3 linked regions of the Coturnix japonica genome follow. The protein of the gene in region 1 purifies or fractionates together with the protein of each later gene. This does not show direct contact. Links are inferred from orthologs where the notes say so. Each region holds a gene or a part of one and is shown in the gene's direction. Other genes may lie near its edges. The genes, in order: RHOC, DAAM1 and RAP1GDS1.

The links.
Region 2: the proteins of RHOC (region 1) and DAAM1 purify together in Homo sapiens (affinity purification with mass spectrometry; 3 studies listed by BioGRID and IntAct, counting the BioPlex papers as one, with this or other methods). This does not show direct contact. The link is inferred for Coturnix japonica from reciprocal best matches to the Homo sapiens genes RHOC and DAAM1.
Region 3: the proteins of RHOC (region 1) and RAP1GDS1 purify together in Homo sapiens (co-immunoprecipitation; 3 studies listed by BioGRID and IntAct, counting the BioPlex papers as one, with this or other methods). This does not show direct contact. The link is inferred for Coturnix japonica from reciprocal best matches to the Homo sapiens genes RHOC and RAP1GDS1.

What each region holds. Positions count from the first base shown.
Region 1 is NC_029541.1:3,631,008-3,634,754, reverse strand, and holds the start of RHOC (rho-related GTP-binding protein RhoC), read left to right. Parts: upstream 1-957; 5' UTR 958-1,083; intron 1,084-3,658; exon of another isoform or gene 3,659-3,677; intron 3,678-3,747. UniProt on the Homo sapiens protein: Regulates a signal transduction pathway linking plasma membrane receptors to the assembly of focal adhesions and actin stress fibers.
Region 2 is NC_029520.1:49,921,302-49,925,048, reverse strand, and holds the start of DAAM1 (disheveled-associated activator of morphogenesis 1), read left to right. Parts: upstream 1-1,206; 5' UTR 1,207-1,316; intron 1,317-3,747. UniProt on the Homo sapiens protein: Binds to disheveled (Dvl) and Rho, and mediates Wnt-induced Dvl-Rho complex formation. May play a role as a scaffolding protein to recruit Rho-GDP and Rho-GEF, thereby enhancing Rho-GTP formation. Can direct nucleation and elongation of new actin filaments.
Region 3 is NC_029519.1:53,753,807-53,757,453, forward strand, and holds part of RAP1GDS1 (rap1 GTPase-GDP dissociation stimulator 1), read left to right. Parts: intron 1-708; coding exon 709-834; intron 835-3,562; coding exon 3,563-3,647. UniProt on the Homo sapiens protein: Acts as a GEF (guanine nucleotide exchange factor) for the Rho family of small GTP-binding proteins (G proteins) that stimulates the dissociation of GDP to enable subsequent binding of GTP.

The sequences.
Region 1 (3,747 bases):
GTGTGAGGTGGCAGTCGGTATGAATATAGGTCTGTTATTTCTGAGCGGTTCTAATTTGGCAACTGCCGAGCAGCAGTTACAGAGCAGCCCCGTTCAGCCAAGCTTAACAGCTTAAAATGCTGCATGAATCTGCTTAGCTGGGGGTTGGAAGCCTGCAATAAAAGCAGCTTGGTTGTGGCTGGGAAATAGGGTGGGCTGGTTTTTCCCCAGACTCGGAGCTGGTTCTGGGCAGGGCTGTAGCTGCAGTTGTTTTCTCTGCAGTATCCTGCATCTGCTATACCTCTCACCTGGGGGATGATGAGTTTCCTGCACCTCTGCAGTGTTGCACCCTGCAAAGCACAAAGCGAGACGTAAATAAACTGGGTGCACTTAGTGGGGAGTGAAAGTTATCCCGTGACATTTGTACCTGTGTGCATCATTGTGCATCTCTGTGTCGCAGGGGGATGATGCTGGGGTTGAAGGAGCTGCCCTTGTGTGGTTCAATAAAGCTCGTGCCGCTCGCAGTTCCACCTCAGCGCCTTTCTTGCGGAGCTCCCGCAAAGACGACTAACTTCAAAGCCAATTAGCGCTGATTAATTCGTGTAGGCAGGTTGGGTGCCATGTGAGCCGCTGTCCCTCCTCCCTTGCGTTGCTCCCACCCGGGGCTGCGGGGTTGGGGCTGCGCTGCCCGGTGCCCCCACGGCTGCCGGCCGGGGAGGGGCATAGCGGGCAGAGGCTGAATTTAGCGCTTCCTCTGCGGTTCCCTTCTTTACTAAAGAAACGTTTCCTTTGGAGCCAGCTGCTGGCCCGGGGAGGGATAAATTAAGGAGAACGCGTCTCCGAAATCTTAAAATAGAAACGACTTACAGGGCATGGCCTGGGCTCCGACGTAACCCCGCTGCCAGGGCGGGGCAGGAGCTGGGCTGGGAGTGGAGCCCCCGGCACACCACGGCTCGGCTCGGTTCGGTTCAGCTCCGCCCCTCAGCGGGCGGCCCCAAAACGGGGCGGTGCTGCCGGAGCCGGGCTGTGGGGCTGGGGTTGGAGCCGGCATCGGGACCGGGAGAGGGAGCCGTGCCGTGCCGTGCCGTGCCGTGCCCTAGAGAGGTACGGGTTGTGCTCGGGATGCGGGCGCTGCGGGGAGCTCAAGGGGTGCGGGGATCGCTATTGGGGGCTTGCGGGGTTATGATGGGACTGAGCGCGTAGCGGTGCGCCATGGGGCGGTGCTGCGTGCGGTCCCGGTCGGGCCGGGTCCCGGAGGCGAAGAGGGGTTGGAGCCGTCCCGCACGGAGCCGCCTCCGATACAGCAGCGCTGTATTTTCTTCGTGAAAGGATAAAAGTTCGCTTTGCTTAGAGCTGAGCTCATTTGTAAACATTTATACAAGGGGGGCAGACGGAGGAGCAGAAACAATTGTGCAATGTCTCAGAGCAGAAAAGCATTCCAGAACCATGAGCAACCCCGGCGCTCCAGCACCAAATCGGGCAGCGACCGCCCGATCCCCCCCGACACTATAAGGCCGTCTGCGCTCCCATTTCCTCCTTCCCAGCGCCTTGCCTTGAATCTATGGTCCTCTCTAGCACGGTTACAGCTGCGTGAGATTTTATGTGCTTTAAATTGACTCCTGACAGCTTCGGCTTGTCCAGGGAAACGTTTCATAGGTAGCTATTGGGATGATGCCAGTGGATATTGGGTGTGCTTAACCTGGCTCGCTTGGCAGCTCAGAGCATGTGCCAGGATGGGGCTGTGTGTGAACATGGGAAGTCCGGAATGTGTTTGCAAATAGGGATCAGCTGTGAGGCACAAACACAACCACCTGCCTGGCCTGGGAGTGTCATCTGGCAGATACTGGTGCTGCTACAGCTGGGGAAGGTGCTTCTGTGGGATGGAAGATAAGAACGTGGTGGATGGAGGAGGTGGGGACAGCGTGGGGCTCCTGAGGCAGCAGTAGTGCTGCAGCAGGCTGAGTTCTCAGTGTATCCAGCTGAAATACAGCACTTGAGGAGCCTTGCTGGTTCATTGACCGTGTATAAACTGTTGGCATCTCTTCTTTAGCCCAGTGATGTGTAAAAGTAGGAGGCTGTGGCTGCAGTCCTGAAGCCAGAGCTGTGAGTTTCAGTCTAAGAGGCTTTGTGCACATGTGATGTTTTTGCTGCCTTGGATGTCATCCTGAAACAGAAGACATTTAAATGGGTTACAGTAAGACTCCAAGCGCCGGTCAGGGTTGGTATCATGTGTTGGTTTCACAGTATCTGCCCAGTGAGCACCAGCACTGCGGGGTGTGCAGCTCTGGGTTTGCTGGGCAGCAATGCCACGTGTTTTCCCACAGAGTGCTCCCAGCTCAAGCCCAGTTTGGGTTTTAACATTCTTCTGCTCCAAATCCCTTTCTTTGCTTTGCTTGTGGATGTTTTTGTGGGATTTGGCAATGAAAACTGCCTGCTCTGCCCCTTGTCTGCAGAGCAGCCCTGATCCGCTGCTGTGTTGTTGCTTGGTGTAGCACAGTGTGTCTGATCAGACCTTAGGAACAGCTCCAAGCTTTCGCAACCGGGACCCCAAAGCCTGAACTTCCTTGCTGCTGTGCTGTGCCTTGGTGTCACTGCTCCTTCCCAGCTGTTTTTGGAATCTTGTTCTGCTTCTGAGGCTCCCCCCATTCCTGAACCTTGCCAGGAACTCATCCTGTGCCGTGGGACTTTCTGCTGGAGTCGTGATGATTGCAATGTGCCTCTGTCACTGTCCCCAAATACCTTCCCTTTAACTCTGGGCTCAGCTGCAGCCCTGAAGCACTCCAGGGATGCTCCGTGCCCACCCTGGGCTGCACCTCCCCCAGGGCCTGTCCCGATATGACCCTGCCTGGCGTGCGTTGGGGTGCGGCTGCAGCCCTTTGAACACACAAAGCCATGTTTAGAAGTGGAGACTGCTGTCCTTGGCTGCACTGGTTGGAAAGCGCCGTTTGTGTTCCCTGCTGGGGTTTCGTGCTCTTTGGGTGCTGCAGGATTCCTTAGGTCTCCTCTGTGTCACAGGTTGTGCTGCCTGAGCGCCTGAGGGAGTGAAACCCAGCGAACTGCATGGTGATGTTCTAGCCTTGAGCCTGGTTTGTGCTGTGATTAGCCCAGCTCCTTCCAAACAGGAGTAAATCCAAACAGTCTGAGTGCCCAGGACGCTTGTTTGTTAAACACTGAGGTTCAGCAGAGGCTGCAGACACAGCAATACCAGGCAGATGGAGACGGCTGCTCTCCTTGGAGATCTGTTTGCCCCCCATAGATGTGCAGTGCTGTGGGGTCAGGGCTGGTGTGATGGGCTTTGGGGATGGGGTCTCAGGAGGAGAGGCCAGCGGGAAGGTTTCTGTCCCTGGACCGATCCCTTCTTCAAAGCACTGACGTCATTTTGTGCCATTTCCTGAGGTTCAGGAACAGAAACTGGGTGAAAGATGCATCCTACCAGGAATTCCCCATTTCCTGCTCAGCAGGAATTTCAGTTTTTGAGGCACGAAGCTCAGCCTGAAGCTGAGCTCCTCCTGAAGCAGCTGTGCCAGAGCCCTTGCTGTGTTACTGGTGGTGACCTTAGAATAGCTACTTGGTGCCACTCTGGGTGCCCACAGGGATAGGGCAGCCTGAGGGGCACCGTGGCTGCACTACTCCCCACCTCCTCCCTGCTGTTTGGAGGCTGGCTGTGTGTTAGCAATGGGCTATTTCTGGGCTGCTGGGTGAGTAATGGAATGAATTGTGCTGAGATTTTGGGCGGGGACAGGGCCTCTGCCCTGTGAGTCACTGCAG
Region 2 (3,747 bases), on another chromosome or scaffold:
AAAAAAATAAAATAATAATAATACGATGTACAAATAGTTTGACTTCTTATCCAGGAAAGAAATATTTACTTGAGCTATAGTGTTACACACCGTTAATTCAATCTGGAGTTTTGATTTGCACCAAAAGCAATAGCAAATCCCTTGGCGTGAAGGCAGTGGGAATGCACAGCATGATCCTGCAGAGAGGTGATGGCAGTGCCATGCAGGAACCTTTGGAAAAGTGATTTATGAGTTCCCAGCTGGCAGACAGTGGACTGTGCTGCTTGGGACGATGTTATTATGCACTGTGAAAGCAGCTGGGGTATGGATCTTGTGTGCCTGTCATCATCTGTGTCGCCTTATCTGCAGTGCTCATCTGCTGGTGGGGAAGGAGAAGGGAAGGGATGGAGTGGGGTGAGACAAGATGGGATGGAATAGGATGCAGCGGAATGGAATGGAGTGAGGTGAGATGGGATGGAACAGGGTGGGGTGGGATAGAATAGGGTAGGATGGGATGGGATGGGATGGGATGGGATGGGATGGGATGGGATGGGATGAAATGGGATGAGATGGAACAGGGTGGGGTGGGATGAAATAGGATAGGATAGGATAGGATAGGATAGGATAGGATAGGATAGGATAGGATAGGATAGGATAGGATAGGATAGGATAGGATGGAATGATATGGGATGAAATAGGATGGGATGGGGTTGAATGGGATGAAACAGGACAGGATGGAACAGTGTGGGATGGCATGGGATAAGATGAAGTGGAGTGGAATTGAGTGAGATGGTATGGGTTGGAACAGAGTGGGATATAATTGGATGAAATGGGATAGGATGAAATGGATGGGATGGGATGGGATGGGATGGGATGGGATGGGATGGGACGGGATGGGATAGGATGAGATGGGATGGGGTGAGATGAGAGGAGAGGGGATAGGGTAGGATAGGATGGAATGGGATGAAAAGGGATGGATGGGGCTGAATGGGATGAAACGAGACGGGGTGGAACAGAGTGGGATGGCATAGAATAGAGTGGGATGGGATGGGATGGGATGGGATGGGATGGGATGGGATGGGATGGAGTTTGCCTACCCTCGCCGTGAAGACATTCCTCCCCGCACAGCGCTCACCCCTCCCGCATGGCCGTACACTACAACTCCCGTCGGCTCCGTGCCGTGGGGGCGTGTTGCATGACGCCATCTCTCGGGGCGGTCGTTGCGGCGGCGCGGGGCGGGGCGGGGCGGGGCGGCCGCGGCCCATTGTGGGCAGGGGCCGGGCGGGCTCCGCTCGGCGCAGCGCCGGCAGGTACCGGGTCGGTGTCGGCTCCGCTCGGTGAGTGACCGCGTCGTGCCGCTGGGCGGGGGATCGGGGCCGCTTTCTCGGTTCAGCGGCGGTTGAGGCTCCCCACGTATCCCGGCGCTCCCCGGGGCCGTACCGTACACCCCCCCCCCCTCCTTCCCATCCCTCCCCCCGAGGATCCCGGCTGTGGGGTCTCGTATCGGCGCTGCGGGCTCCGGGGAGCGGGGCTCGGGCGGGGCCGCGGCGGTGGGAGCGGGGCGGTGGGGGCTGCGGGATGCGGCGCTGCCTTCGCCATGGCAACGCCGCCCCGTTGGGTTGGATGGAGCCCGTGCCCCCGGGGGGGGATGGGAGTGCCGGGGGTCCCTGCCCCGCGCTGCCGGCTTTGGTGGGGTGAGGGTCCGCGCCGCGATGTGGGAGCGGGGTTGTGGGGTGTCTCGTGGTGGGGATGGCTGTGTCGGAGGGTGGGGTGGGGCTGTGGGGCAGCAGCCGTAGAGCAGCAGGTTGGATGTGGCACCGTGTTTGCGAGAATGGGGTCAGTGGTGCAATGGATGAGGACGATGCCCTCACTGGTCTCCCCGTGGGGACAGCTGGCTGAATGGTGTTTGTGCTTGGTTCCACCCGTGGGGGCTGTGCTGCTTTGCATGCTCGTGTGGAAGGGGCTTTTTGCATTGCTTTTGCATCAAGGTTAATGGAAGGCAAAGCCAAGCTGGAGTCCTCCCGGCTAAAGCTGAGCAGTGTGTGCCTGCCCCACTGCTATGGGACCTGGAGGTGGTGGGAAGGTGCTGCGTCCCGGTGCCGGAGCCCTGCTGGGTTCATGCAGCCTGGTTGCTGCAGATCTCAATGCCTTGCCACCAGCAGCTTCTCTCTGCTGCACAGATGAGGCTTTCTTCCCTCTCTAGAGGCTGGTCCTGATACTGCACACAGAACCCAGCTGCATTATCTGCTGAGGCCACCTCTGTGAGCTGTGACACCGCCTGGTTTAACTCCCTCAGCCCAGCCATGGGCATCCTGAAGCACTCAGTGTCCCCTGTCTGTAGGGTCCTGCAGGCCCCATTGCCATTGGCCTCCTTTCCCTGCTGACACCCCCTTGGTTAATAAGTGACTCGGGTCCTTGGGGCCAGCCCAGTGTGGCCTACAGCCTCCTGTGTGCAGGGAGCAAGAGCCAAAGTCCAGGATCTCTGATGGAGCAAGGTGAGAACGAAGGGCAGCAGGAAACAGGGAAGCTTCCTCCTCTTCATCCTCCTCTTCCTTCTCATCATCCTCCGGCCGGGTCACTGCGTGCGGCCCTGTGGTGTTTGGGGCTGGCTGCTTTGCTGCCTGGCCTCTGCCCCGAGCAGGAAAACAGGATGGATGAGGTGTAAGAGCAGTGCCAAATCTGCTGCCCTGGGCTGGAAGTGGAGTCAGACCAGTCCTGACCTGAGCCAGCGCCTTATCTGACCCTTTGTTTTTGGGAGACAGCAGGAAGGGCTCTAGATGGGGTGGCCGCTAGGACCGGGTCATGGTTATCTCCTCCTGCTTCTGTTCTTTGTTTTGGCTTCTTGCCCATCTCCTGAGCTGCGTCATGCACTCCTGTGTGGGTGTCATGTACCTGCTGTCCCCAGGTCCCCTCCTTCCATTCCATGGTCTCCACACCTCTGCCATTGGCACTGCTGTACTGCCAGCCTCAGTGCCACTGAAATGCAGTGCAGGGGGCAGGCAGCAGCGTGCCAGGCAAGTGTCAGTGCAACAACTCCTTTAGCTAAGCAGCAGCCAGCAGCTTTCTTTGAGTAGAAGAGTTGTTTTGGGGGATCCCACTTGATCTCAGGCTGCCCATGGAGGTGGTGGGGTCACTGCCCTTGGAGGTGCTCAACAACCATAACGATGTGGTACTGATAGACATGGTCATTGGGCATGGTGGGGGTGGGCCTGGGGACCTCATTTCCAACTGGAATGATTCTATGATCCTAAGGGAGCAGCCCTTGCACTGACCCTGATTGCTGGGTGGCACAAAAAGCAACACACCTACTGCATTTACAACCCAAAGGTAGCTGCTGGTGATGCAGGCAGATACACCACGTAGGGCGGGTGGTCTTCTGTGTCGATCTATGCCGAGCTGCTGCTGCACGGCTGCTTTTATCTCTGAAGTATTAATAAATGAGGCTCGCTATTTATATGGGTCTTTTTAAGAGCCTGGCGGGGCTGCCTGGAAGGCTCGCGCGGCACTGCAAGCATTCGGGGCTTTTTTGTGCATGCTTCAGCAGTAGATAAGCAAGGGCATCCAGCTGTCAGCTTCAGAGATTGCCAAAGCCTGCTCTACGGGATTTCTGCAGCCTTCTCTCACAAACGAGGATTTTGTTGGGTGCTTTGCTTTCTGACTCGATGCTGCTGATCAAATATCTCAGCTTGGCTTCAGAAGGCTGCTGCGGATTGAGTGGTGAGGCTCGTGCAGAGCAGGGCGTGCTTGTTCTGCTGTAATTGAGTGGGA
Region 3 (3,647 bases), on another chromosome or scaffold:
CTAGAGCGTTAGCAAAGGTGCTGGAAGATTTAATTACAGATGGCCCTCAGGAGGTGGCAACTGGAGAACACAGAACACCAGTCCCACCATCTGCATCCCCTGTAAAACTGCCAGTTAGGAGGAATCAGATACAGGCAATAGAATCAGATGCTTCTGTTGGCACCACAGCACATAAAAAACCACAGTCCAATGGGTAACCCTCCTTGTGGCCACCTTGGCCAGCTGTAAAGCTGCGTTATGATATCTGTGCAGTATGAAACAGCCTTGCAACAGCCAGGCACAGATTTTAAAGGAAATGTCACCATCACAAGACCACGTAAACACTAAAGCTTTCTCCAAGGGAAAATACAGTATATGATCTGTTAGTCTTCCTCTTTAGCTGAGGATAATAAAATACCATCTTTATTTTTGTCATGTTACTGTTTCTATAGCTACCTTTACATTCTCTTGGGCAGAAACAGCCTCAACAGCCTCAATCATGTACACAGGTCTTTTTGAACAGCCTTATTCATAATTGAAGGCAGTACATTTGCTCTAAAGCATTAGACTATTTCATTCCATTTTGTGACAAACATGATTCTATTGTTCTTGCCTGTGAAGTGCACTATTAGTCATCTCACTGAGTAAATCTGGTAAAAAAGAGAGAGAAAAAGTCATCCTAGCTTTTGATTTGGTTTGTTTACTTGATACGGAAGTTTTGCTTTGCAGAGTCAAGCAAAGAGCAGTTTGCCTACACAAACATTGCTGAAGAGCTTGTGAAACTGTTCAAGAAGCAAGTAGAGCATGATAAAAAAGAGATGATCTTTGAAGTTTTGGCTCCCCTCGCAGAAAATGGTGAGCGTTTGATTATTTACTTTTTTTTTTTTTTTTTACCCTACGGTATTTTTTATATAAAATAATATAATAAAGGAATGGATATGTTTGTCTCTTTCGGGGACTAACAGCAGAGCAATTGGCTGCCTTGTTTGGCAGTCCCCAGGGGTGTATGATGACAGTTTCAGATGAAGCGAATGTTTTAACTGTCTGAATACATGACAGGAGCCTACAAATTGCTGATGCTGATTCCACCTCTGATTCATTCTGTATGCTATATTTTATTTCCTCCTACCTGCAGTGGGAATATCAAAAGCAGATTTTCTTTCTTTCCTACAGAATAGTTTTTGACATTTATCTACAGAGCACTGTGAATATCAGAGATGCCCATCAGAGCTGTTGTAGGACTGTTACTCTCACTTCAGCATTGTATTCTTATCCTATGAGCACGATCTATTTGCTTTACAAGTTGTGTTTTAAAATCAGTATAGTTTACTATTGATTGTTACTTCTCTGTAGTAGCCAGCAAGTCTCTTTTTGAAATACAGAGAACTCCATTTTCTCCTGAAAGCTCACAAGAGGCTGGCACAGTTCTATAGGCCCTGAGGAGCAAGAGAATACACGCAACCATTGGCTGAAGTGTTCATAGTCTATTGCAGCACCAATAAATCAGTCACTACATCACTTACTGGGACCTCAGAACCCTCTCCCAACAGTTTAATTTCCTATGGAAATATTTTTGCAAGGAACACGTTAATTGCAGAGCTAGGAGGACATTCTCTTCTTACTTTTCATTCGGAAATCATTTACTTTGAGTTTGGTGTAATATATTAGCACCAGCCTCAGGAGACTGAAGTTTCTAGTCTAGCCTGAGCAGTGAATGAGTGATGGGTGAGGACCACCCCTCCAGCATGTTCCTCTGGAAAGACTCACAGCAGTTTGTATAACCTTCTATCTGCCCTTAAGGGAAACCAAAATATCAATTAACAGCTCAGGGTGTGAAAGATAGAACAGTATTTGATGGCTCTATACTTTGTTTTCATCACCTCAGCATTAAAACTTGCTGAAATTGAATGCATTCTTAGAAGATAATTGTAGACTCAGAAGATTCAAGTTTCATCCTATTCTTCCCAGTATAAATCAAGACACATTTTGTCTTCAATTTAGAGTTATGATAATGTCTATTTTTGGCAGTTCCTTTGTCTTTCATTGCAAGTTATATGTGAAACAGGATTTCTCTTTTCAGTTCTGAAAACATGCATTTTGCCAAAATATATTCATTTATTATATAATTACTAGAAGCTGCTCTAAGAAGTTCAGCCCTTCAAGACTGACACAGAATTAGCCTAACATTCTGTGACTTTGACATATTTCATTTCAAATGCTTAATTTTTGTCTGCTTTACAGTCACAGTAAACTTTCATAGGTTTACTGCTGCTGAACATAACTCAGCTGCTTGCACTATGTGGCAGTCAACGGAACTCTTCCACTGTGAGGCCAAGGCATACCTAAATGAGCATGAGTCCACTGTGCTAGTGCTGCTAGGTGCTTTTGATTATAGATCATTGGCCATCAGCCATGAGGCAAAACCATCTAGATGAGCTACTGGAATAGATTATTTGCATTCCTAAGAGAGTCCATGAGAAGGTCAGCTGCTCTGGGAGAAACAATTTCGCTCAGGCACAAAAGCTGAGCAACAGCAGTAAATGGATAAGAGGTGCCTGATCCTTCAACAGAGAAGTTGGGACATTTTTTCTCACCCAACTCTATTTTAACTTGAGCTAAGCTCCTTACACCACCTCATGCAGAAAACATCCAAACAAATGGCTGTTACTTACATTTCTGCAGACCTTTGAGACTGTGCTCTCCAAAATCAGGATGCAAAACTAATAGAATCACTTTCACGTAACAAAAAGAGGTGACACAGCATCAGGTGATTTGCCATTCCAACGTAACAGGAAGGGAATTTGTGTGTGTAAAGAAGGAGATATCCAGCTCTAAATTCACAGGGGAAAAAAAATAAATAATAATGCATTAAATATTGTGTTCTAGAGACAGAAAAATTATTGCTTCCAAATCCTATATTGCTACCTAAACAACCCATTCATCACCTTCTCCATTGAGCCTCATTTCTAATAAGCAAGGAATGAGCTCGCCTCAGCAGTTTCCAACTTTTCTTTGATCACAATAAATTTGTCTCCCAACCCAGCCTGCTGGATTTGGCCTTTCTTTACTCCTGAAGCCCTTGGAACAAGTGACAGAAATCTTGGCTCAACTGAAAGAAATGGGTCATTACTTGCTCTGAAATTTCATTTTTAATAAAATCTGTATTTTATACTTGCAGTGGCTCTTCTGTACACAAAACAGAAGATGCACCCTTAGGTTTGTTCTGCAACTCAGTCCAAATTCTTTGGAGAGCCCAAGCACAGCAAGGCCCTTATGAGCTCATGCTGTGCGAGGACTGAAATGCCAGATAATTTCTGCAAAGTAATTTGCTCATTTTTCAGAATAGCAGCAACACGCTGCTTCACAGTGCATAGATGTGGTCTAAGGGTGGTCCAGAGCTGAGGGTGCACACCTGCTACATGACTTTTGATGGAAGTTGACCTTAAGAATGCACAGTTATTTTGGTTACACAAGTTGTCAGTGAAACACTTGACATTGCTAGTCTTTGGCTGTCCTGCATGGAGGTTCAATGGATGTATTTTAAATTATAATGCTGGCTCCTACTCTCCATGCTGTTTCACAGATGTCATTAAACTGCAGCTGGTTGAAGCAGGATTGGTGGAGTGCTTACTTGAGGTTGTCCAGAAGACTGTTGACAGTGACAAAGA